3 linked regions of the Styela clava genome follow. The protein of the gene in region 2 purifies or fractionates together with the protein of the main gene of each other region. This does not show direct contact. Links are inferred from orthologs where the notes say so. Each region holds a gene or a part of one and is shown on either strand. Other genes may lie near its edges.

Evidence for each region. Proteins that work in one complex are often made in the same cells at the same time.
Region 1: the proteins of paired amphipathic helix protein Sin3a-like (region 2) and lysine-specific demethylase 5A-like purify together in Drosophila melanogaster (affinity purification with western blotting; 3 studies listed by BioGRID, with this or other methods). This does not show direct contact. The link is inferred for Styela clava from reciprocal best matches to the Drosophila melanogaster genes Sin3A and Kdm5.
Region 3: the proteins of paired amphipathic helix protein Sin3a-like (region 2) and histone deacetylase 1-like purify together in Drosophila melanogaster (affinity purification with western blotting; 3 studies listed by BioGRID, with this or other methods). This does not show direct contact. The link is inferred for Styela clava from reciprocal best matches to the Drosophila melanogaster genes Sin3A and HDAC1.

Annotation. Positions count from the first base shown.
Region 1 is NC_135263.1:18,251,898-18,260,382, forward strand, and holds the start of lysine-specific demethylase 5A-like, read right to left. Parts: upstream 3,238-8,485; 5' UTR 3,188-3,237; coding exon 1-3,187. Other genes in the region: DNA-directed RNA polymerase II subunit RPB3-like, read left to right, coding at 5,138-5,260, 6,319-6,444, 6,665-6,793, 7,066-7,195, 7,284-7,437, 7,510-7,681; uncharacterized protein LOC120341062, read right to left, coding at 7,706-8,051, 8,158-8,231, 8,393-8,485. UniProt on the Drosophila melanogaster protein: Histone demethylase that specifically demethylates 'Lys-4' of histone H3, thereby playing a central role in histone code. Does not demethylate histone H3 'Lys-9', H3 'Lys-27', H3 'Lys-36', H3 'Lys-79' or H4 'Lys-20'.
Region 2 is NC_135250.1:15,215,379-15,223,228, forward strand, and holds the start of paired amphipathic helix protein Sin3a-like, read right to left. Parts: upstream 3,142-7,850; 5' UTR 2,119-3,141; intron 2,062-2,118; 5' UTR 608-2,061; coding exon 1-607.
Region 3 is NC_135257.1:9,275,975-9,283,729, reverse strand, and holds the start of histone deacetylase 1-like, read right to left. Parts: upstream 3,238-7,755; 5' UTR 3,127-3,237; coding exon 3,078-3,126; intron 2,493-3,077; coding exon 2,380-2,492; intron 1,976-2,379; coding exon 1,858-1,975; intron 1,046-1,857; coding exon 971-1,045; intron 587-970; coding exon 448-586; intron 183-447; coding exon 41-182; intron 1-40. Other genes in the region: transcription initiation factor TFIID subunit 1-like, read right to left, coding at 6,259-7,755. UniProt on the Drosophila melanogaster protein: Catalyzes the deacetylation of lysine residues on the N-terminal part of the core histones (H2A, H2B, H3 and H4).

The DNA of each region.
Region 1 (8,485 bases), on a different chromosome or scaffold from region 2:
TGTTTGCTTTTTCAACCACTTCCTGTAGCTCAGCACAATGTATAAGTTGCACTGGAACATTTTGGGACTCGGATGTGATAACTTCTGCTGTTTTTAGACTGCCTTTTTCCTTCATTTCGAGAAAGCTTTTAGCCTTATCCTCCCATGCTTCTGAAAGATTGAGAAGTTCCTGCAACTCAGCCATTGCACGTTCAACAGCAGGCCTAGGTGACACAGACACTCCAGAATCTATCAACTTCCTTAATTGCTCCAATGTTATCAATGATGGTGGAGGATCACAATCATTTATTTCATCGTCCAAAAGGAGACAAGATCTGACTTCTTCTAACCACTTTGCTTGTTGTAGTGCGTGGTGTAGTAACGTCACCTGTGGAAGTTCCAGATCAAAATCTAGTGAATCCTCTATCAAAACAGCAATGTTATGACTGCAAGGTTCTTCCTCTTGCAGAATAATTTCAGTTTGAGTAACAAATTTTTCAATTCGCTTTATATAATCAGAAACCTGATCCAAGTTTGGAATTGTGCATGGTAAACCTAATAGTTGTAGATAAAAAGCCCTTATTTCTTCCAGCGTCAATAAACAAGTATTTGGATGAGTTATAATACCAGCTGTGGAATGAATTTCTTTTTGCCTAGTCCTGTGCTTTCTAACCACAACAAGCTGTTGGGCAACTCGTGAACACTTTTCGGCTTCCCGTACAGCTGACTGCAATTGATGCAGCAAATCATTTTCTGGAAATTTCCCTTGCACAGCTTCTTCAAGCAATTCTTTCAATTCGTGTAATGTATACTTGTTTTCAAATCTTGAAAACGCATCGCCTAATTTTGTAGTCCATGTATCAAAAGACTCCGCTCGCAATTTCATCTTATGAAGCAATGGAGGTAATTCATCCAATGTGTATCTATATCGAAGTATAAATTTACTTGGATCACAAGTGCTGCAGAGCCTGTTGACATGGAACGTACAGACAAGGTGATCTGGTCTACATGGGCATGTAATTGCGGACAAAAAGCATGCTGTTTTGCAGATGAAACACTGACGTTCATCATCGGGTACAACCTCAAAAGCTTCCCTTTCAGCTTGACATACACCAAGCTCATGAAGTTTCTTTCTTGCTTCTCTTTCCTCTTGCAGCATAGCAAGCATATCTCTGTAAACAGCAGCTGCAAGTTGAACATCTAAAACGTCAGGATTATTGGCGACTTTACATAAAATTTCTTCGTGTGAAAACACACATGCTCTTTTTACTGCGCGATAGTGAGCAACAGATTGTCTGCCAATAGGTATCCAATCAGCTGGACAAAAGTTCACGGCTTCTGCAAAGTTATATCCCTGATTAAAACCTGCATGATATGCCCTGGGGAAGGTAACAATGAATTCACCCGCACATTGGTTAGTTCGGACAACTCGCACACCATTGTTCATCAGAGTTGAAGGATTGATAGTGGTTACAAGATGATGCATAACATCAGGGTGGTTCTTGAATAGGTCAGGTGCGGTATTTTGCATTACTTCTTCCAGTTTGATTGCATCTTCTCTTGGAACACCATACCAAGTCTTTGGTTCTCCCCAGTGAAGATAATTGATAGAATATGTCCAATGATCTTCAATGTGCCAACAAAAAGCAGAGAAGCACATACCGACATAAACCCATGGTATTTTCATTCCTGACATGTCACCAGTCATATAACTTAGTAATGATTGTTTCGCAACTGGTAGATTGTTTAAATTCCATCCACTTTTTGCATAATCCTCTTCTTCAGCAGAAAGTGGATGTTTCTCTTTGTCGCACATTCTAGGAAATCCACTTCCGTGATTAAGAACATGAATATCGGCGCCATACTCCACTGCAACATCCTCTTCTATTGATCCAATTAATCTCCAGAATTCTCTTTCAACCAACTCAGTGGGGATCATGTGAACAGGTTTTGTAAAATATTCTGACTTAAAAGCATCAGCCATTTCTCCAAAACTTTGTAGTGTGTATTGCTTTCTTGCTTGTTCAAAACCATAAGCGTCTATGACTTTGTTGCATTCTTTAGACAAGCATTTTGGACATCGCCAATCCCCTTTGGGAACTTGGTTCAATGGTGGAATCAGACAGTAGGTATGGTAACTGTCATCACATCCATCACAGAGTAAAAGTTGAGTGTCATTGTGATCCTTCAGACAAACTTTACAATTACCCATTGTATCAAGAATGGAGTATGGGAGCTGTTCTGAACCCTTCTTTCGTGTGTTTATTGAGGTTGTGTCAACTGTTGCGGTAGGAATTGCAGTTTCTGGCTTTATCTTAGTTTCTATTTCCCCGTTGTAATCCATCAAATCAAATATATTTTTGCAATCCTCATTCTTCGGTTCTATTTTGATAGTAGCGGGTGCAGGTTCACTTTTAATTTCTTTTTTATTTGCCTCTTCTGATTTTATTCGATTTCTTCTCTTAGCAATTAATCCCAGGCCTACCATTTTTGGGCCTGCACCAAAAAGCTGCAATTTGGCAAGTTCTTTGTTATTTGATACGTCTACAACAAGAGATGGATCATCTATAGTTCTTCTTTTATTTTTCTGGCGGGCAGCTTCACTTTCATCTTCTTGCTCTCTCTGTGGTTTTACCTTGCTATTCCCTCCATATCTTCCTGAAAAACTTGGAAGTGGTTTCCCAGAGCCATCAAGGCTCTCAAGAAGAACGCCAGAAACCATTATGTCATATGGATACAGCAATCTTTCATAATGTTGTTTTATTGTTGCAGAAAAATTTTTTGCAACTCCTAACTTTACACATGCGGCATTCCATTGGCGGTTCTTGCAGACTTCTTCAAATCCCCCCAATTTCCTTACGGTCTCATGGAGACCATACAAATCTAAAGGAGAGCCGGCAATGTGTGGCAGTCTGAATGTAGTACCCTGTAATTCCCAAAACTTAGCTACTTTCTGAATGAATTGAAGTCGAATCCGAGTTTGAATACCTAATTCATTAAGTCTCTGTATTCTCGGTGTAAATTTGAAATTTTCTACGTCAATAGCAAATGGGGGTTGCCAATAAGGTGGAGGCCGTATTTTACAAATGCCTGCTTTTTCTGCTATAGGTCTGATCTTAGCAATGTATCCAAGTGGATGAGCAAATTCTTCTTCGTTTGGCTCAAAAACTGGAGCCTCTGGAGGAGGAAAGAATTCATCATCAAACATATTGAATTTTTACATACAGCAGCTTATTAAGATCTTTAAATATGAAAACAAAATTCAGAAAAATTAATATGGATCTAATTAGATAGAATATACATATTCATCCCGGGGGAGAGGAAAGTACAGCCTAATCATATGGCGAAGCATGGCCTCTCATTAAGTTACCAGTCCATGTCGGGATGGGATTAGTTAGCCAGTTATTAGTTTTCGGAAGCAAGGACTTGATGGTGGAGGAGGCAGTAACCGACCAGCGGTTATATGAACACCCTATGGCGGCGAGGAGTCCGGAAACCGTTTGCACATAACTAACCCTGCATGAGATCGGAACCCACGAACAGTAATCAGAGGTGCGGTGACAAGCATATTCCTAACACTTAGCATGATGCGCCACACCGCCGAGCCGGGAAGAGATATTTCAATTTCCTTAGCATGTCAATTGAAAAACAAAATCATTTGGTTGAGTTGTAATTCTGTTGTGTATTTGCACAATCTTGTACATAAATTAAGAATTTGATCACATTGAGAAGATATCAAAATGCTTTACTAAAAATTTAAATTGTCAATACATCATTTGCATTGAATATCATGTACCGGTAGGCTTACCGGTAAATAGTTTTATGTTTTTGTATATTTCCATGAGACAACTTCGCTTTGAATAAAGCCGGAAAAATATTCAACCATCACTGTCATCAAATATTCTTACAACTTCAATTTATTGGAACAAAGATTATTCAATTTAGTGATATTTAAAAATGATCATTCATCCTGATATGTTGATTTGGCTAACTAGCAGAAGCCTAAATAAGGAGCTTACAAAGTGGGACAAGGTATCTGATCCAATCACAGAAATACTTTTTTCATCTGTAGTTTATTAATTTTTATGTGTTGACATGATTCGGGTTGTAAACATTCCATTTTACACCAAATTTTAGTAAATTTGACAAGAATTACCAAGATGGAATTGGTACACCAGTCATGAGGAAAGCAAATTTTTATTAAAATCAACGAACTCCTGAATTTGTTTGATTAAGATTATAATTGACTAATATTACGAATGATTATGCCTAAACTCAACCCAATTCTAAACTCAAAATTTCAAAGTACTGAAGTATAAGGGTGGTCTGTGTTTATCATCCTTCATGCTGGTTAATATTATAAAAATGTTTTACTTTTGCACTGCTGAGGCAGGTATTTAAGAGCAAATTTCATACTAGATAATAAGGAAGCAACAATTTCAGTATATACAGCTAAACGAAGGCGATAAATTCAGAAATCTCAGTACCCCGTATAGCATTTTTACGCTTCCTTAACGACTGACTGAACGGCGTCGGAAAATCGTAGATGAATTTAAATACACATCACACAGTCACAACATCGCCGTATATAAAGGATCTCACGAGAGAACGCGCACAATCAGATTGCATACCTTTTAAACTTAAACATTCCAAAAACTTTATTTAATTCAACACAAAATTGTTGCGCGAAATGCAAAAAATCCAAACAGTTTTTAGATTCTCGCACACACAGACATATCGCCAAAATTGGATCTACTACATTATTATTTCTACGCTGATTTTCATACCAGGAAAAATCTGCCGAACGGTTATTTAATCCATGGCAAAAATATAACTTAAAATTATTCTAACTAAAATAAATTACCACACAGAAAGGAAAAATATTAGACGCACAAGACCCTGAGCACAATCCGTCGCCATTTTCGCTACGTGACCACTTGGTGTCCGTAAACACAAAGAAGAAAAAGGGCAATGACGCATTAAGATGAGAAAAAAGTTATTTCAGCAGAAAATAGAAAAAATGCAACCCGGCAAATTGTAATTATGTACGAATTTTGCATTTGCTCTGTTCTTTCCAGGGGCGTATATTGAGGGGTTCGATTGTGTGCTTTTTTATTATTCTGGGTTTAGCGCTGACAAATCGAAGACAAACAATACAATGCCTTACGCCAATCAGCCTACAATCGCAATCACGGAACTTACGAAAGACAATGTGAAATTTGTTATTGAAGATACAGATCTCAGTGTTGCAAATTCACTCCGCCGGGTATTTATTGCAGAGGTGAGAATTTCTGATACCGGTAACCGAGAGGAACAGGATGGAGAACCCGGAGAGTTGGCTAAACCAAAGTTGGGTTCGCAGGTTCGAATCCCATGCAGGGATGGTTATGTGCGAGAGGATTGCTGGACTCCTCGCCGTCGTTGGGTGGTTCACGTAACCGCTGGTCGGTTACGACTTCCTCCACCACCAAGTCCATGCTTCCGAAAACAAACAATATAACTAATCCCATACCCGACTTGGAATGGTAACCGGACGAGAGGCCGTGGTTCGCCATATGGATAAGCCGTCTTTTCGGTTTTCCTCTCCCCCGGGATAAATATGTAAATCCTATCCTATCCTAAACTTGATATGAGTTTTGAACATGCCACATAAATGCACTAACGTGATGTAGGCAATTCAATATGAAAAAGCTGTCTTATCGACTATCCTCTCCCCCTGGATAAATTTTGAAGTCCTATCTTGTTGTAACATAGAACGACTTAGAGATACCGTACTCCGACACAGTCTTTAAGGGTATACCGGTACCCTAGCTGCTGAATTACCTTATTTTTTTATTGCCCATATCGGAAGCCGTGGAGCCACCCTTTTCTGGCGAGGAGTCTAGAAATCCTCTTGCACATAATTATCTCCCACAGGATAATCAGAGGTGCGGTGGCGAGCGAATTTCTAATACTTAGCACAATAAATCACATTGTCTAGTCATACCCGACACTCGCTTTCTATTTGCTTCCATGGCCATTACAGTCGTCAACTCCTAAGCTATCCCAGAGTCATCCTCAACTTTTAACCTTTGCACATTTTAATAACTCATTCATTAATAACTTCATTCTTCTACCTGTACGCATGCATGAAATACAAATGTCTATAAGCATGGCATAGACTCAACAATAAAGATTACTAGAGTTCATGTTTCAATCTTATGAACTGGACTATCGGTGAATTAAAAAGTAGTGAAGTGTTATCCATTCTAATATTCTATATGAGACATGTTTCTTTGAAAAATTGTTTGTTTGTTGTGACTGCCCGCCTCACATTACTCTATTTAAATATATTTTAAGGTTCCCACACTTGCGATTGACTGGATTCAAATTGAGGAAAATTCTTCAGTATTGAATGATGAGTTTTTATCACATAGGATTGGATTGATTCCATTAACATCCGATGAGATAGTGGACAAAATTCAGGTAAATAGCAATAAGTAAAATTCAACCAAGCATATTTGAACGGGACCTATAGCCAGCCCATGCGATTAGGTCATTTTGTCTGTTCTCTATCTCTCATTGTTCCTCATTCTATGTATCATACCTGGTTAGTTGATGTACTACGGTAATTAATACATAAGATTATTCAAACCAAAGTGATCATTTTTTATTTTACTGAAGAACGTATTTATCCTGATTTCAGTACTCAAGAGATTGTATGTGCGATGAATTCTGCCCAGAATGTTCAGTGGAATTTTATCTCGATGTCAAATGTACAAGTGAAAGCACGCGACAAGTTACTACTCGTGATTTAATATCCATGAATCCAAAGGTAAAATGGTATTCTTGAAATCAAAATTATCCATTAGATGCTATTTTTTTATTTTATTTATTCTGCAGTTTCATGAGAAATACACATTTATTTATTATGGAATGAACAAACACTATCTGACTTTTCTACCCAATGTCTCGGTCATAATCATATCCAAATATTTTTTTCCAGTTTAAAACATTCCCATTATTTTGCTGGCTAATAGTGATTGCATAAAACATAAACATTTTGTGTAACAAATGAATTGAATGCCGTTTGCATGTTAAACTAAGGTTGTTCCAGTTACATCGAGAAGTAGAGGAGACGAGGTTGAAAATTATGGAGAACAAGATGACATACTGATTGTTAAATTAAGAAAAGGACAATGCCTAAAATTCAAAGCTTATGCTAAAAAGGGATTTGGTAAGCGGGTTTCTTAATGTCTGTCTACTGTATAATGCTTTCGATGAGAAACATTCGTTGGATAAATGAAACTTCAATATAAATATAGGAAAGGAACATGCTAAATGGCAAACAGTTTGTGCATGTGCTTTCGAATATGACCCAGATAACGCACTTCGTCACACAACTTATCCAAAACCCGAAGAATGGCCTAGGAGCGAACACAGTGATCTCACAGATGATGATGATAGACATCAAGCAGAGTAAGTTGTCGTGGCTTGGTTTTATTAAAACCACAATGAGCTACAGTAGCCATTAAATTTATTTTTGTTCAGATTTGATCCGAATGGCAAAGCAAACAAATTTTTCGTCAATGTGGAATCTACAGGAGCCATAAAACCAGAGAACATCATTCTGTCAGGGCTCTCTGTTCTTAAGAAAAAGCTCAGTGACCTCCAAACACAGCTAAGCCATGAACTGCAGCAAGATGGACTAACTATCGCATGATGATGCTGAGAAACGATCTTTTGGTCATAAAGTACCACCACCTTCTGCATCACTAGTTTGTCTGGCTTCAGGTGGATCTACATAGTTGAACATTTTAGGACCAATTTTTTCCAGATGATTTCTGCCACGTTGTCGCCAGAGTTTTTGACACATTTGTAATTTGATACATCGTCTGGCTGAACAGTTGTTGCACATCCTGTACCCATCTACAACTTTCCACTGCTCTTGTTTTAATTCTGGTGCAAGGACATTTTCGTTCTCGGGATTTTCCAATCGTTTGAAGATGATGAGTTCACCATTACTTTTTAAATGTGTCCCACCTATGTCCTCTTTAGTTGGGAGGCCATTTGGAAATTGAATTGGATGAATTCTGAAAATTTGATGGTACTTAGCAAGTTAGCATACGACAATAGTCTGTATTATTTGGCCTTCCTAATTGAATTTACCACCACGAGAACTGAGCAAAATCATAATACCTGATTAAATGTTTGACCTGCCAAAGTTTCTCATTATTATTTGCTGTGTTCATCTGCACTGAAATGTCATTTACCTGTGAAGAAAGAATAATAAAATATTAGGAATACTATTTATCTTATTGTAGTTGTTCAGGATTTTATGGATTTAAATACCAAATAAATTCAGACCAAAGTTAATTTGTAGCAATTGCAATACACCACTTATTGATGTCGGTTAAGGACTTTATTTTAATACCTTGTACAAACCCATATCCTTCATTGCTTCTTTCTCCCAGTATGGGCGAAACTTCAGCTTGTGTATCTGTGTAACCATCCACAACTTTGGTGG
Region 2 (7,850 bases):
TGAACTCTTTCATGATATCCAGAAAATCATTGTACACTTGAGGTTGGTTTCCAAATTGAAATTTAACTTGGTCCAAGTAAGACAGTGCATCCTCGACTTTTAAGCGCTGAAACTGAGACTGTTGTTGCTGTTGTTGAGCTTGGATCTGAGCCTGCGATGATGCAGGAAGTTGTGGAAGAGAAAGATGACCAAGAAGTCCAGACGCAATGACCGGGTGGTGCAAAATCGGAGCTTGGTGTGGCATATGATGCTGTTGAGATAGGCTCTCTGAGGGTTGCTGCATTACTGCTTGTGGTTGCAAGGGTAAACATAATGGCTGGGAAATTGTAGCCTGCTGTGACAATGTAGGTGGACGATTATAAGATGGAACACCGAATCTTGTGGTTGATATTGCAACACTTGTAGAATTGGGAATGATAGGTCTTTCTGCGGTTGTATCCCGATACGTGCTCGCATTTGGTCCGTGAACCAGAGATACGAGAGTTTGTTGGCCATGAAGAATGCCAGGTGTTTGTCGCCGAGCGTACAATGCATGTTGTGAATGCTGTGAACCTGGTGGTGAAGGTTTAACCCCAGGTTCATCCTTTTTGTCAAACTGATTTGACATGTCTAGATTTTTTTCATTAACTTGTGATACATTAATTAGATCAGTCTCTAAATTTGAACAAATAAAAAATATTCACAAACAGTTAGATACTCAGATGTAAAATGGTCTCAAAAAGCATCAGTTTTTTTCACTATATATCTCTATTCTCCACCAACTAAATACAGATCTCTGATTCCAAGAATAGCCCCCACGTTGAAAGACATCAATTATACCAATGAGTGCAAACCCCTCCTTTATGAGACAGTCTGGGTCTCCATAATGGCACAAATCGGCGAACGAGCACTGTGCAATAAACTGAAACGAAGCACAATCTAGAAACGTCAGAAATAATCTGATTCAACAAAAGAAAAAATAATTACGGTAGCATTCGAGAATTTCTAGCATAAAAAGCAATTCTGGTCATGTGATGGTTGACGCACGTTGTGATTGATTCAAATTATTATTGAGCCAATCGTGGCACGATCTGCCATCATGTCAGACACCCTCATTTCAGGGACAATCAGAATGTTTGTTTTATTGGAATCCGAGAACTGTGTCCGACTGAAATACAGCACAAATACAAAATCAATAAAAATAAGTTTGGATATATGAGGAATACAATGGTCCATTAATTAATTTTAGAAAAGATAATTTTTCATAAGGCAACAACAAGAATGAGAAAAAGAATTCTAACAATAACAGCAACATAATAACAAAAACGATACACATGGGAATTTTTATTTTTATTTGCTTTTCAGGTACTCATCATAGAGCGTTCATTTCTTCGGAAAACATAGTATGGATAAGTAGTAAAATTTTGGTATTGTTTGCATTTTTCATCGACCCATAGAATGACAAGGAGATTAACCCAAGGAGGTGCAAAATTGCTGTTTGCCAAGAAGCATATAAATCAGTAAGGCAAACTCAGCGCATCTTTAACAGAAAATTTGGAATTAATTAAGAAACGAATCTATATTAAAGATGCCCATTCTCATGCACAATGCCATCCAAGTGCAGTTTTAAGTATTCTGTGGCGTCTGCAGCTGCCGCAAAACCATGGCGGTATTTCCATACCATGGCCGCTATGGCCAAACCTATGGCGACCGACTTTTTTGCTGCCACAAACCAATGACGAGCTACCGTTACCGCGGCAGCAAATTGAAAACCAATGGCTGAATGGCAGGTAAAATTTTGCTGTCGTAACCACGGCAGGTGGGCCATAAGGACAGGGCTGTCACTTACGGTGACAAATATTGGGTAAGTTGGAACGTTTTTCTTATAGATACAGTTTTGATAGATTTGGGGTTAGGGTTTAAATAGATATAATTCCGCATGATTAATTAATGTCTGGTACCGGTACATGAATTTGTGAATATACAGTTAATACTGATTACTGAATAGCGCTATAAAACCATGGCAAGTGATGCCGCGGTTCGTTCGTGGCAGGAGCTGCCATGAAGTGGTAAGAACTGCGCCTCATGCCATCATACATCTTCGTGGCAGGAGCTGCCATGAAGTGGTAAGAACTGCGCCTCATGCCATCATACATCAAAGAATGAAAAAATGCAACCAATACGGTATCAGAATAATGGATCAACGGTAAGTCATTGTTACTTCAGTACTTCTAAAGTGGCAAAATAGTTAGGGTAGTTAGCTAATATTTTCAGTTGGACATACAAAATGTTAGAAAAAGTGAAAAATACCCAGAACAAGCAATTTTGAGACTGGTCTAACTAGGGATACCGAGATAGAATGGGATTTACATATTTATTCCGAGGAAGAGGAAAGCCGATATGACAGCCTAATCACATGGTGACCCCTGATCATGTCGGTTATGGCTTTAGTTAGCCAATGATATGTTTTCGAAAGTACCTGTACCGCATGGACTTGGAGGATGCCAAATTCTAAAATATTCAATTACGGTAAGAACAGGCTAACTTTACATTTTGTTTCTCGATATTACTTTTTTTTAATCTCTCAAGATGCAAAATTCTGGAATTTATAACTGCTTCCTTCCTTTATAATAATAACTACAGGTACCGCTCACTGCGACATTATTATACCTAATTCTGCAATTGCTTCGAACATTATAGGAGCTGTTCGGACGGCCGTAGCCTATCGATGGTCAGATCGCTCAGGTTAGGTAGGATAGGATTTACATATTTATCCCGGGGGAGAGGCCGATAAGACGGCTTATCCATATGGCGAACCACGGCCTCTCGTCCGGTCACCATTCCAAGTCGAGTATGGGATTAGTTATATTGCTGTATTGTTTGTTTTCGGAAGCATGGACTTGGTGGTGGAGGAAGCCGTAACCGACCAGCGGTTACGTGAACCACCCAACGACGACGAGGAGTCCAGCAATCCTCTCGCACATACCCATCCCTGCATGGGATTCGAACCTGCGAACCCACGCAGAGTACAGGAGTAATTAGAGGTGCTGTGGCGTGCGTATCCCTAACGCTTTGCCCGTTGAGCCACACCGCCGCGCTGGTACCGGTATTCTCATTGCTCTACAGTATTTCCATTATCGTCATATTCCTGTATATATTACGGTACGATCCCCAATTGTCACCTACCGGCACCCAAAGTGATTACCGGATTTTCTTATTACACTTATACCGGTAGTCATATTGCCGGTACCGTATCTTCCCACAGAATATCCAGAAAATCGCCTTAGAACAAGAGTTACCGTATAATTTGACTATGCGCATAAAAGTTATAAACCATCTCATCTGAACCGTTAACTGCAGAAAGTAAAAAAAAATGAAGAAATGATACTGAATGATCTGATGCTAACTGCATAAAATATGGTACAAAATACAGAAATAGCGCCATACCGTAACACTGAATGTCGCTATAATGCAGGGGTTCTGAACCTTTTTTCTGTCAAGTACGGTACCCCCCGAGTCACGAAACAATCAACGCGAACCCCCAAAAATGGAGAAATGATACTGAATGATCTGATGCTAACTGCATAAAATATGGTACAAAATACAGAAATTGTCATTGGTAGCACTGAATGTCGCAATAATGCAAGGGTTCTGGGTAAATATCCAATAGATGCACTTGAGTCTAGTACTGCAAAATTTAAAACGTAGTATTAAAGGCAGTCGCACGCGCTTGGTCACCACATATGCTAGGCACATATTTAGGCACTTCGAAAAATAAATAAAATGGCAATTATCACTAATAAAAGACAGAGACATAAACATATTACCCACACTGATTAGCCTGGGTAAATATCCGATAGATGCACTTGAGTCTAGTACTGCAATATTTAAAACGTAGTATTAAAGGCAGTCGCACGCGCTTGGTCACCACATATGCTAGGCACATATTTAGGCACTTCAAAAAATAAATAAAATGGCAATTATCACTAATAAAAGACAGAGACATAAACATATTACCCACACTGATTAGCCTGGGTAAATATCCAATAGATGCACTTGAGTCTAGTAGTGGTATTTGAGAATAATAAATTGTTACCGGTAGACACCTTTTACCGTGTTTCCCCGAAATTAAGACAGTGTCTTATTTCAAATTTCTTCCTAAAATTACCACTAGGGCTTATTTTCGGGGGATGTCTTATATTTTAATTTATCAAAAACAAAATTACAAAGTAAAGAATTAAGATATTTTCAAATATGCAAAATATAAAAACCGATATCATTGGGTTTACTTGTTGCAATTTGCATATTAATTTTTTAATTTAAATATTTTAAACTAATTCATTATCGTTTTAAAAGTTATTAGTATTACGCCCATTTTACGCATTTTTAGAAGTGTCTAAATAAGTGACTAAAAAGTGCCTACCGGTAACAATTTATTATTCTCAAATATCACTACTAGACTCAAGTGCATTCATCGGATATTCAAATAGGCTAATTATTTTGATCAATATTTTTATTTTCTGTATTTTTATCCATAATAATTACCATTTTCTTTATATTTCGAAGTGTCTAAATATGTGCCTAGCATATGTGGTGACAGAGCGCGTGCGTCTCCCTTTGATACTATGTTTTAAAAATCGGTATTGGATTTACCTGTTGCAATTTCCGCGTTCAACATTTAATTTAAATATTTTGAACTAATTCATTATCTTTTTAGGAGTTACTACGTTTCTTTCACCTTTTTTTCGAAGTGCCCACTGGTAACAATTTATTATTCCTAAATTCCAGTACTAGACTGCAAGTGGGTAATATGTTTATTTCTCTGTCTTTTATTAGTGATAATTGCCATTTTCTTTATTTTTCGAAGTGCCTAAATATGTGCCTAGCATACTTGGTGACCGAGCGCGTGCGTCTCCCTTCAATACAACGTTTTAAAAATCGTTATTGGGTTTAACTGTTGCAATTTTCGCGTTCAACATTTAATTTAAATATTTTGAACTAATTCATTATCTTTCTAGGAGTTACTACGTCCATTTCACCTTTTTTTCGAAGTGCCTAAAAAAGTGCCTACCGGTAACAATTTATTATTTCTAAATTCCAGTACTAGACTCAAGTGCATCTATTGGATATTTGCCCAGGCTAATCAGTGTGGGTAAAATTTTTAATACTCTGTCTTTTATTTGTGATAGTTCCGATTTTCTTCTTTTTTCAAAGTGCCTAAATATGTGCCTAGCATATGTGGTGACCGAGCGCGTGTGACTCCTTTTAATACTACGTTTTAAATATTGTTATTAGGTTCACCCATTGCAATTTGCGTACTATACATTTAATTTGACAATTTTTAACTAATTAATTATCATTTTAAAAGTTATTACGCCCATTTCACCTTTTTTTTCGATGTGCCTAAATAAGTGCCTACCTGTAACAATTTATTATTTCTAAATTCCAGTACTAGACTCAAGTGCATCTATTGGATATTTACCCAGGCTAATCAGTGTGAGTAATATTTTTATTTCCCTGTCTTTTATTAGTGATAATTGCCATTTTCTTTATTTTTCGAAGTGCCTAAATATGTGCCTAGCATATGTGGTGACAGAGCGCGTGCGTCTACCTTTAGTACTACGTTTTAAAAATCATTACAGTATTGGGTTTAACTGTTGCAATTTTTGCGTTCAACATTTAAGTTAAATATTTTGAACTAATTCATTATCTTTCTAGGAGTTATTACGTCCATTTCACCTTTTTTTCGATGTGCCTAAATAAGTGCCTAAAAACGTGCCTACCTGTAACAATTTATTATTTCTAAATTCCAGTACTAGACTTAAGTACATCTCTTAGATATTTACTCAGGCTAATCAGTGTGGGTAATATGTTTATTTCTCAGTCTTTTATTAGTGAATATGCCATTTTATTTATTTTTCGAAGTGCCTAAGTATGCGCCTAGCATATGTGGTGACCAAGCGCGTGCGACTGCCTTTAATACTGCGTTTTATATATTGCTATTGAGTTTGCCCGTTGCAATTTGCGTTTTCAACATTTAATTTGACCATTTTTAACTAATTAATTATGTTTTTAAAAGGTATTACGCCCTTTTTACTTTTTTTCCAAAGTGCCTAAATAAGTGCCTAAAAAAGTGCCTAATTTGCAAGTGCCTACTTTTGGTCCGTCCCCCCCCCCCCCCCCCACCGAGTCACGAAACAATCAACGCAAACCCCCGGTAATCTGACATCCAAACAATTTTGTGATATATTGACTAACAATTTGTTGAAAAAACAATTTATTGACCAGATGTAACTAAATTTACTTCCCCTGTTACTATTATTGCCCTAGTCCTCCGCCCAACCAATGAATTCTTAAAATCCCTCTCACGCATCACTTTCTCCAATGCTCGCAGCACGCTGTCTTTGGAAATTTCAGTTTGCCTTCAGCGAAGCCGTGAATTTCACATTGTTGCGTCACAATCACAACAACGCAAGATCGGGGGGAAAATCACGTTTCAATTGGCATCCAGTTTCAATCGGCACGCATTTTCCTCTGATAGTAATAAAGGATATCAAAAAACAGCAACACACAAAAACTCGACTGCCATCCACGTACCCCTTGAAATCTTCTCGTGAACCCCCGGGAGTTCGCGAACCCCAGGTTGAGAACCCCTGCAGAATAATGGAACCCAAACCAAAATCAGGAATGGAGGTATTTTCTTGTCAGCAATAAGACGACAATGACGTAAAATTGCAATTCACGCAGTCTTTCAGACCGGAAACAATGCACATTGGCCGTGAAACTATAGAGGGTCAACATTATCATTCTCTGTGGTGAAACTAGGCCCTGAAAAACGATTAGAAAGTGAGTTTCGTAGCGCACATCTGGGGATTATATAAGTTCTTTAGTTTTGTATGAAAATGAACCTACCGAACAGCGCTTATAACGTTACCAATGCATGTCCTCACTTGGTTTACAGTCACTTTGGTGGGAACAAGCTATAATGGCTCAGGTGACGTCACACCAGCCATTTTGTGTCCAGAGTTATATCGCTGTATGATCCTAACTAAGTGATTTAAACCTGTGATCGTTAAACAGCTGATTAAAAAAAAACGATGCTCACTAATTCGGACCAAACTTTCGCATCGGCAAAACGAATGAACAGTCTTCTGAAAATTTAATTATCCGCAAATGTTTCTCAGATAACTTGGCTCGGCGGTATGGTCAGCATATACGAAGTTAAGGTTAAAGTCATCCAACTCGATGAATCAACAACCCAATAAGACCAAAATATTAAACAAACAGATACACATTTTATTATTAAGTTATTATAAAATTCCTGGTGAAAGTATCGCTACTTGCTCAGAACCTATTTTAACAAACTCACAGAACTACAATACAAATTATACTACAGAAACTTGCACTATTTTTGCGGTACATGTCATGATATTAAAATATGCGTATCGCAAATTTTTTAACAAGGTGTACATTGCCAAAATAATATCCAAAAAATGTACTATATGCCTGGAATGAAGTATAACGGCGTATATCAAGTTTACAAGAACATATAATTATCTGGAGTGTATAAAATAATATATTATCTATTTGACTTGAGCTCTTGCCGCAGGTCTACTAGCATACCGTTTTTCAATAATTTTATTTGTCTCCTCTTTTGCGTGAATATTTAACCTTAAATTGAGAAGCGTTTCAAAATTTTAAAAGCGATATTGTGGCAAGATGGGAAATTATATTTCAAGCAAATTTATCTGTCAGAAAAGTAGGCTAACAGGCGAACATATATTATGAAAGGCATTAATATTTGCAGAAATATAGTTTATATTTCGCGCAAAAATACGATTGCTTTTTTGGATGGGTGGCTTAAATATTGG
Region 3 (7,755 bases), on a different chromosome or scaffold from region 2:
AATGCGCAATACAAAGTATAAGCATAAAATCTATACTAACCCTGAGATCGCCTGTGCCTGGAAAGTATTCACCATACTTATGGAATGAAACTGTCATAACTCTATCAGTTGTATAAAAGGCTTCTTCCACACCATCACCATGATGAATATCAATATCAATGTATAAAACACGTTGATGATACCTATACACAATATTTTTTGTCTCAGTATATTCTTACACATAAAACAAAATTGGTATTCTGAAACTCTTGATTTCAATTCATTTTAATTTTGAATATTCTAAAATCTAAATAGATCACTTTTATTTTATTTGACTGTGATTTCAACAAAAAAAAATGAAATTTAGATAATTTGGTTACAGTTTGAATTTGATTACCGTACTCTCATTAAAATTATTGTTTCAATAATAATCTCTAAAAATCAACAATTCATATTCACTACACTCACTTTAGAAGTTCTAATATAGCAAGCACAATATCGTTAACATAACAAAAACCAGAAGCTTCTGATTTTTTAGCATGATGAAGTCCACCTCCCCAGTTGATTGCAATATCAGTTTGCTGCTTGTTAATTTTGACAGCTCCAGCTATAAAAATACCAGACAGAATATTAGATGAAAGACTTGGTATATTGAACTTATCTTATAACTTATCGTATAAATATCTCCTTTTTGAATAAAGTACAAGCACTCGCTGAATGATGAGAAAACACAATGGTGAGAAGCTGGTGATGCCTAGAAATTTTTTTCAGTCTGAAAAGCTTTTACATTCAGGGTGAGATTTGGCCTTAAATTAAATAATGTGTTGATTGAGCTAGATTTATTCAAAACCAGTGATGCCAATATAGTTATTCCAATACAACCACTTTACTTTGTACACATCTTCATAACAAATCATCTAATATAGGACTTATTATTCTGCTCTAATATGCTATGATACTTGTATGTATATATATTACATATTAGACTTACCAATTGATCCACCACCAGATAACTGACAAAATTCATAAAGTCCATCGAAAACTGGACAATCTTCTCCGACATTAACTGAAAAAAAAATTTATCACACTTCTTGAAGCAATATCACAGGGTTTCAAATTATGCTTTCTTAGGTATAATTGTCCCAAAAATTCACAAAGCCACACACTACACCAGGGTCGACCAACCTTTTTGGCCGTCGGGCGACATTTAGTTTACTAATAATTGCGTGGGCCACTTAACATGGTAATTATGTTCTAGTTTTGTTACACTGACTAAAAGTTAATAAAAAACAAACAAAACCCTCGCACCAAACTTTCTCACTAATAAGAACAATAAAAAAACAAAGATACAGTAAAGTCAACAAAGTTTTTTCTACACATAGATATTTTAGTGTGAAGTTTGGCACTGTTTTCGCTAACAAGTTAGTAAATATTCGCTGAAATGAACGATGTAGCAATGCGAAGTGAATTTTCCATATGACTTTCAGAAATTAGTGATCTCACAGGGGATTTGACATGGTTCATCTGTGCCCAAGTGTGTAAGCTACTATTTATGTATCGATACCTTCCAGTTGATTTCGAATCAAAATGGCACTCATGGCTCGTTTGAAAGGGCTAGCAGAGCGCATTTCAGGAAAATTAACAAATTGTTTGTATCAAATCTTCATATTAACTACATCATTCTGAAAATGGAAGTTTTACTCAATTTTTTTTTATATTTAATTTCGAAAATACAGCGCGGGCCACTCAAAGCTCCTTGGTGGGCCACATGTAGACTGTGGGCCACAGGTAGGACGACCCTGCACTACACACTCAAAGATACAATATGATTAAAATTTAGTGTAGATGTATTATTAAATAGTCTTAGAAAATCCTTACATCTCTGCATTTGTTTTGTATATTCAGACATGTTGTCAGGTCTTATGCTGCGCAGAAATTTTATGTAATCATCACTGTGGTATTTTGTCATCTCATCGCTGTTGCATTTATGTGGTCGCTGTGAAATAGATTAAAGAATAAACAATGCACTGACTATGAATTTTATTAATTCACCATATTTTTGACCTGCAATTAGAGAAGCTTATGGCCACTGTATTATTGGGTTTGACAAATGGAAGGGGAGCCAAACATGGGTTACTGGTTGCAACACCCAAAATGCATTACACAAATAATGATTCCATTCATTGAAAAGTTTGAAATCCAATATTTTAATAATATAGGTACCTCAATATAAATTTGTTTCATTTTTTATATACAAGAGGAAAAATATTCAAACAAATATATCAAACTAAAAATATGATTCGTGAGGTTTTCGAAGTGACATTTTGTTTTAGCAATATTTTCAAATTCTATTTGGAGGCATATTTCTATAAATGTGAGTGTACAAAATTTTTAGCTTACAAAAATTTCCATTTTTCGATACAGTCCATAGTTTAAAAGTAGATTGTGGGTCATGCGTATTCGGTGTGGTTTCATTGGATGACCCTGGCCATAGTAGTAGTTTCCAACATCAGCTGTTCGAACAAAATTGATAAATGAAAATTAAATGGAATATTTGAAAACCATAACCAACCAGCGGTTACGTAAACCACCCTATGACAGCGAAGAGTCCAGCAATACTCTTGCACATAATTATAACCAACAGGATTCGAACCTGTGAACCCATGCAGGATAATCAGAGATGCGATGGCAAGCGTATTCCTAACACTTGGCATGATGTGTCATACTGCCGAGACAAGATTGTAGTTGCATTTCATATCGTATCAAAGAGACTAAAAGATCTGACAACGCAGTTTAATCATATTGAAAGCCACATCTTTTTGTCTGGACTCATTCTTCATGAGAATAGTTATTCCAGAAATAAACATTGGTTTCTGATCATTATGAATTAATATTTGGTAATGTTGTATATTTCCACTAAATACGACAAACGTATATCACACAGTCATCACAGTTTTAAAGTAAAAATGAAATAATGAACCAACATGGTAATTACTGCACGGGGCTCTACTGGCACACGTACCTCCGACAAAGCCAAGCGAAGTTATAAAAAGTGAATAGTTCAGCTATTACCTGGATAATTTTGGAAATATACTTACAATCATAATAATAGCAAACTTTTCTGTTTGTTGGATTCGTCAGCGCCATTCCTTCAACCGAAATACTTTAAAAACGAACAAATAATTCACGCAGAGACAGACGCGCAGACCACACCACAGCGACAATCGGAGGAAACTAAACGATATGTAGCGTTGCCAGATCGTAATATCAGCAGTGCTTTTGAGAGAGAGAGAGAGAGAGAGAACTTATTTATTTCGTCAAACCAGAAAACGATTAAATATATATGATAGCAAATTGAGAAAATTTAGTTTTTGATAGATGACTGGGTGGTAACGATACAACCATTTACGGTCATTTGAGTCAGTTATCACCCAAAACAAGCAAATTAACAAACAAATTAATAACACAGGTTCTGTTATACTTACGGTTATACCACACTCTCAATAAATATAACAAAAAAAACGATATACACTATGTGCAAAAAAAACAATATTTGATTATAGGAGAGATAAATTTGTCTATTCGGGATAAGGGAATTATTTGAATAAATTTTTTAAAGCAAATATTCCAAGAATTAAGAATTCTATACCAAATATATTATTATACTAGTTAATTAGTATATATATTAATCCACACATTCAATCTGTCCTGAATCTTTTTATGTGCATACACAAGTTAAAATATAAAAGATGAGTCACAATATCACAAAGAAAAGTTCCACAAGCAACAATAATATGTTGTGTGAAGTAAATCACAGTTTGACCGTAAATATGGTTTGACATATGAATTATGGGCATAACAGTAATACGATTTTTTTTATTTTTAATTCATTAGCTTGAAGAAAATATGGAACAACGGCATGGTTTGGAAATTTAGTTATCAATATTAAGTAGAACAAAAGCTAAAAACCTAATGAAAAAAAGTATTCTACTTATGTGATAGAGATCGAATATCGTATTTATATCGCTGGTTCGGGTACCGCAGTGAGAATATATACACATTTGATACGGATAATCATATATGACCAGTTGACGACCTATCGTTCGTTCATAGGCCTACATCATTTTACGACATACAAGTTGAAAATCTTTGATAGATTAGGATCAGGTCTGTTATAGTAAGGACATTGAACGCAAAATTTCAATCTGTTCATACAATTATTATCAGAAAATGAAAAGAGGCGCCAAAAGTTTTAAATACGGCAATAGCGGAAATGTTTCAAAACCGCAAAATGTTGGATAATCGATAAATATAGCATATAAACGAAGTGAAGTGAAAAAAAATATTGTACACACAAATTAAAACTTATATAATTTTATCAAACCATTCCTCTTTTTAATGAAGCATGAAGCTAAGATTAAACCAATTTAAGGAAATGGCAACAAATTCTGAAAGTTATAGGCCTACTGCCAATGTATTATTAAATAGTGCATAGAATATTCTAAAATGAAACTTCACATTTTGAATCTTCCTTATATTATAGTTAAGTCACGTGTTTCTTCAATTTTGATTATATCCAATTTGTCTTTGTGAGATCAATGTTTTTAAAGAAGTGCCTTGAAATTATGTTCAAAGTTCTTCTATTTCTGGTTGTAATTTAATGGAGCGGCTAGAGTTGTCCACTTTTTTAGTGGGAATTTTCCTGCATAGATCGTAATTATTGAGGTAAAGGTGAAAGTGCGACCATGAAAAACATCGCCAACATGTAATTCAAATTAATTTTAAATCACATAGCTTTTTGTTGATTGTACACATATTTTACCAATTTGCAATGAAGAAAACAATTAGCCTACATGAAAGGTCCCAGGATGAAAAAATTGTTTTTTGGAGGGGGAACCAATTTTTTTATAATGACATAATGCGACGCTAACTCGTGCCTTTTGCTCCAACCAAGGCGAGATAAAGACTGCTAGAAGACAATATCTTAAATAATCTCTCTACGGGCTTACTTCGCTGTTCAAGTTATATATATATAAGCAAGCATTTTCATCTATCTGGTTGGGGTATTCGGAGCAAGGATTATTATGTCTCATCACAAATGCCTCGAAATTGCATTAAACAGCTGAATATTTTAGAGGTGGGGCATGGCCTGGCTATGGCCACAAAGGGTCCTTCATTCACTCGATATATTTTACAACCATTTTGTGTTTTATTCAAGGATTCAGATGCCGGAATAAGCAACTGACGTTAGGTTAACATTAAAAAACTAATATGATAAGATTTACATATTTATCCCAGGGGAGAGGAAGGCCGCTAGTCCGATTACCAGTTCATGTCGGATATGGGATTAGTTAGTTATTTGTTTTCGGACGCATGGGCTTGGTGGTAGAGGAAACCGTAACTGACCAGCCTTACGTGAACCCCCCTACGTTGACGAGTAGTCCAGCAATCCTCTCGCACATAACTATCCCCGCATGGGATTCGAAAATGCGAACCCACGCAGAGTAATCAGATGTGCGGATGGGGGTCCAGTACGCCAGATAATTTCTTTGATAAGATTGTCTCTGTGTGCCCATTCGTAAGATAACGAGCATTAGTGTTTAAAATCCTACTAAAGACATCACTCGTTTCCCCCAATATTGGTGCTAATTGTATGCAAGTGTGCGTTCTATTTCAAGTAGTCAAAGTAATCTTAGCGTCATAAAATACTAAGTTGACAGTTCGAGATTGACACTGGCGGTTGGTACCTGTTCTTACATCATGCAATTTATAGAAATACGTTTGCCATCGCACCTCTTATTACTTTGCGTGGGCTCGAATCCCGTGGGGTTATATCGTGCCAGAGGACTGAATTTCCTACAGCCGTTGAGCGAGTGCTTCACTATACTAACGGTTGGTTACGTCTTCCTCCACCAAGTCCTTGCATCTGCAACAAAGAATGTGAGGTGTGGAACGCCAATGGCATATGATACAAACGTCTGCAATAGCCTGATATTGCCACTATACCGCCATTGCCTGAGATTAATATGGAATTCCCTAATGATATTGAGCAGGGTAACAAATGAAAATGCACTTCGAATTTGAACTATAATCATTTGTCATAATATGGCATTGGGCTTTTGAAACTTTTTTGATATTTCCCCAAAAGACATTTTCATCATTCTTCACATAATATTACGGTAGATACAAACAAAATACTTTGTTAAGTGTTCATTTTTAGATACAAAATGATTAGATTTCTTGGTGAAAAATATAATAATTAAGAATAGGACATAATATTTAGGTTTCAGAGAGTTCACTTTCGCTGACAACTTCTCCACCGACAGATACAAAACTGCCAGCTTCGCTATCCTCGCCTTCTGAACTCAGAGTCAATGATTGTTTTTTAGTTGAACTTTTGTTTTTACTTCTGAAATCAGAGGGAACATCCATTGCATTGTCTGGGGCACTATCTCTGATAACTTCATCTTGATGAACTGTTGTTGAGTATTTTTGGAATCTTTCCTTCATTTGATCATCATCACTGCCCTCACTTTCAGATCTTGCAAATGGATTTGCTTCGTCTTCATCTTCACTATTGCCTTCCTCATCCTCACTTGCAGACATTTCTCCATCCGACATCAGCAAATCTTCCAAAAGCAGACTCTTGCCTTCTTGGGCCTCGATGCCATCAGCTGTGTTAGAGTCGTTTTGAGTTCCGAGAGCTTGAGCTGCAGCGACTGAAACAAAATCATTCGATGAAGTGGGAACATCACTTTCCACATCTATTTTTTCATCTTCCATGTCGGTGAACATGGTATTACTCTTACTGTCATCTTGCTGCATTGCAGTGAAGGAGGAGTTACTATCTTCATCCACACCAATGTCCATGCTGTTTTCATCCATGACAACGTCGTCATCAGCTCCAGCCTCTGCTTCCTCTTCTGCCGCTTTCTTTGCAGCAGCAATATCATTTTCTAGCTGTGTTAAATGCTCATCATATTCCTCGAGTGTATTTCTGCAAACATCAACGATTTGTCGAGCAGTTTCAGTAAATTTTGATTCAGCGCCATTGAATTTTGAGCTGTTAATTAAAATAAGCTCAACATGTTCCATAAACTGTCCTCTATTTTGATACATATGTTTCTGAACATTCTTTTTCAGTGTGCCGAGATCCATTGGATGATCAACAACTTTGTAATAATCCGGCACAATTTTCTTATTGACAGGATTATGAAAAGGCCATGAATCTGAAATGGTCATCATTTTATTACTGATTATATTATCAAGAACAAAACTGAAAGAAACTTGGTCATCGTCATCAAGCAGAGGATTTATTGCTTTCTCCAGGCGCATCAATTTATCTTCCAAATCTTTGAATCTTGAGTCACAATAATCAGTCATATGAATAGCAGTCTTTGTTAATGGACTGTCTACACCATTATAAATTTTAGAATTGTTGACAATCAGATCTAAATGTTCTTTAAAATCTGCTCTAGATAAATATGAATGTTTATGAAGGTGATCTCTCATTGTTTGTAAATCCATTGGTTTTTCAATGATTTTGTAATAATCTTTGACCGCTCTTGGATTCACAGGGCAATGAAAAGGATGAGTTGATGGAAGTTCACGCAAACCATTAAGTACATTCTCAAGAAGTGATGACAAAGTTACAACAGGGTCTGCTCTTTTTCTTTCTTTCTTTTTTGCAGGCCGAGTCAAGTAGTCGCAGTGGCTTACAGAGCCCTGATACTTTCTTTTACGTCTTTGCACTGGCTGTGGTGTTTCAGGTTTCTG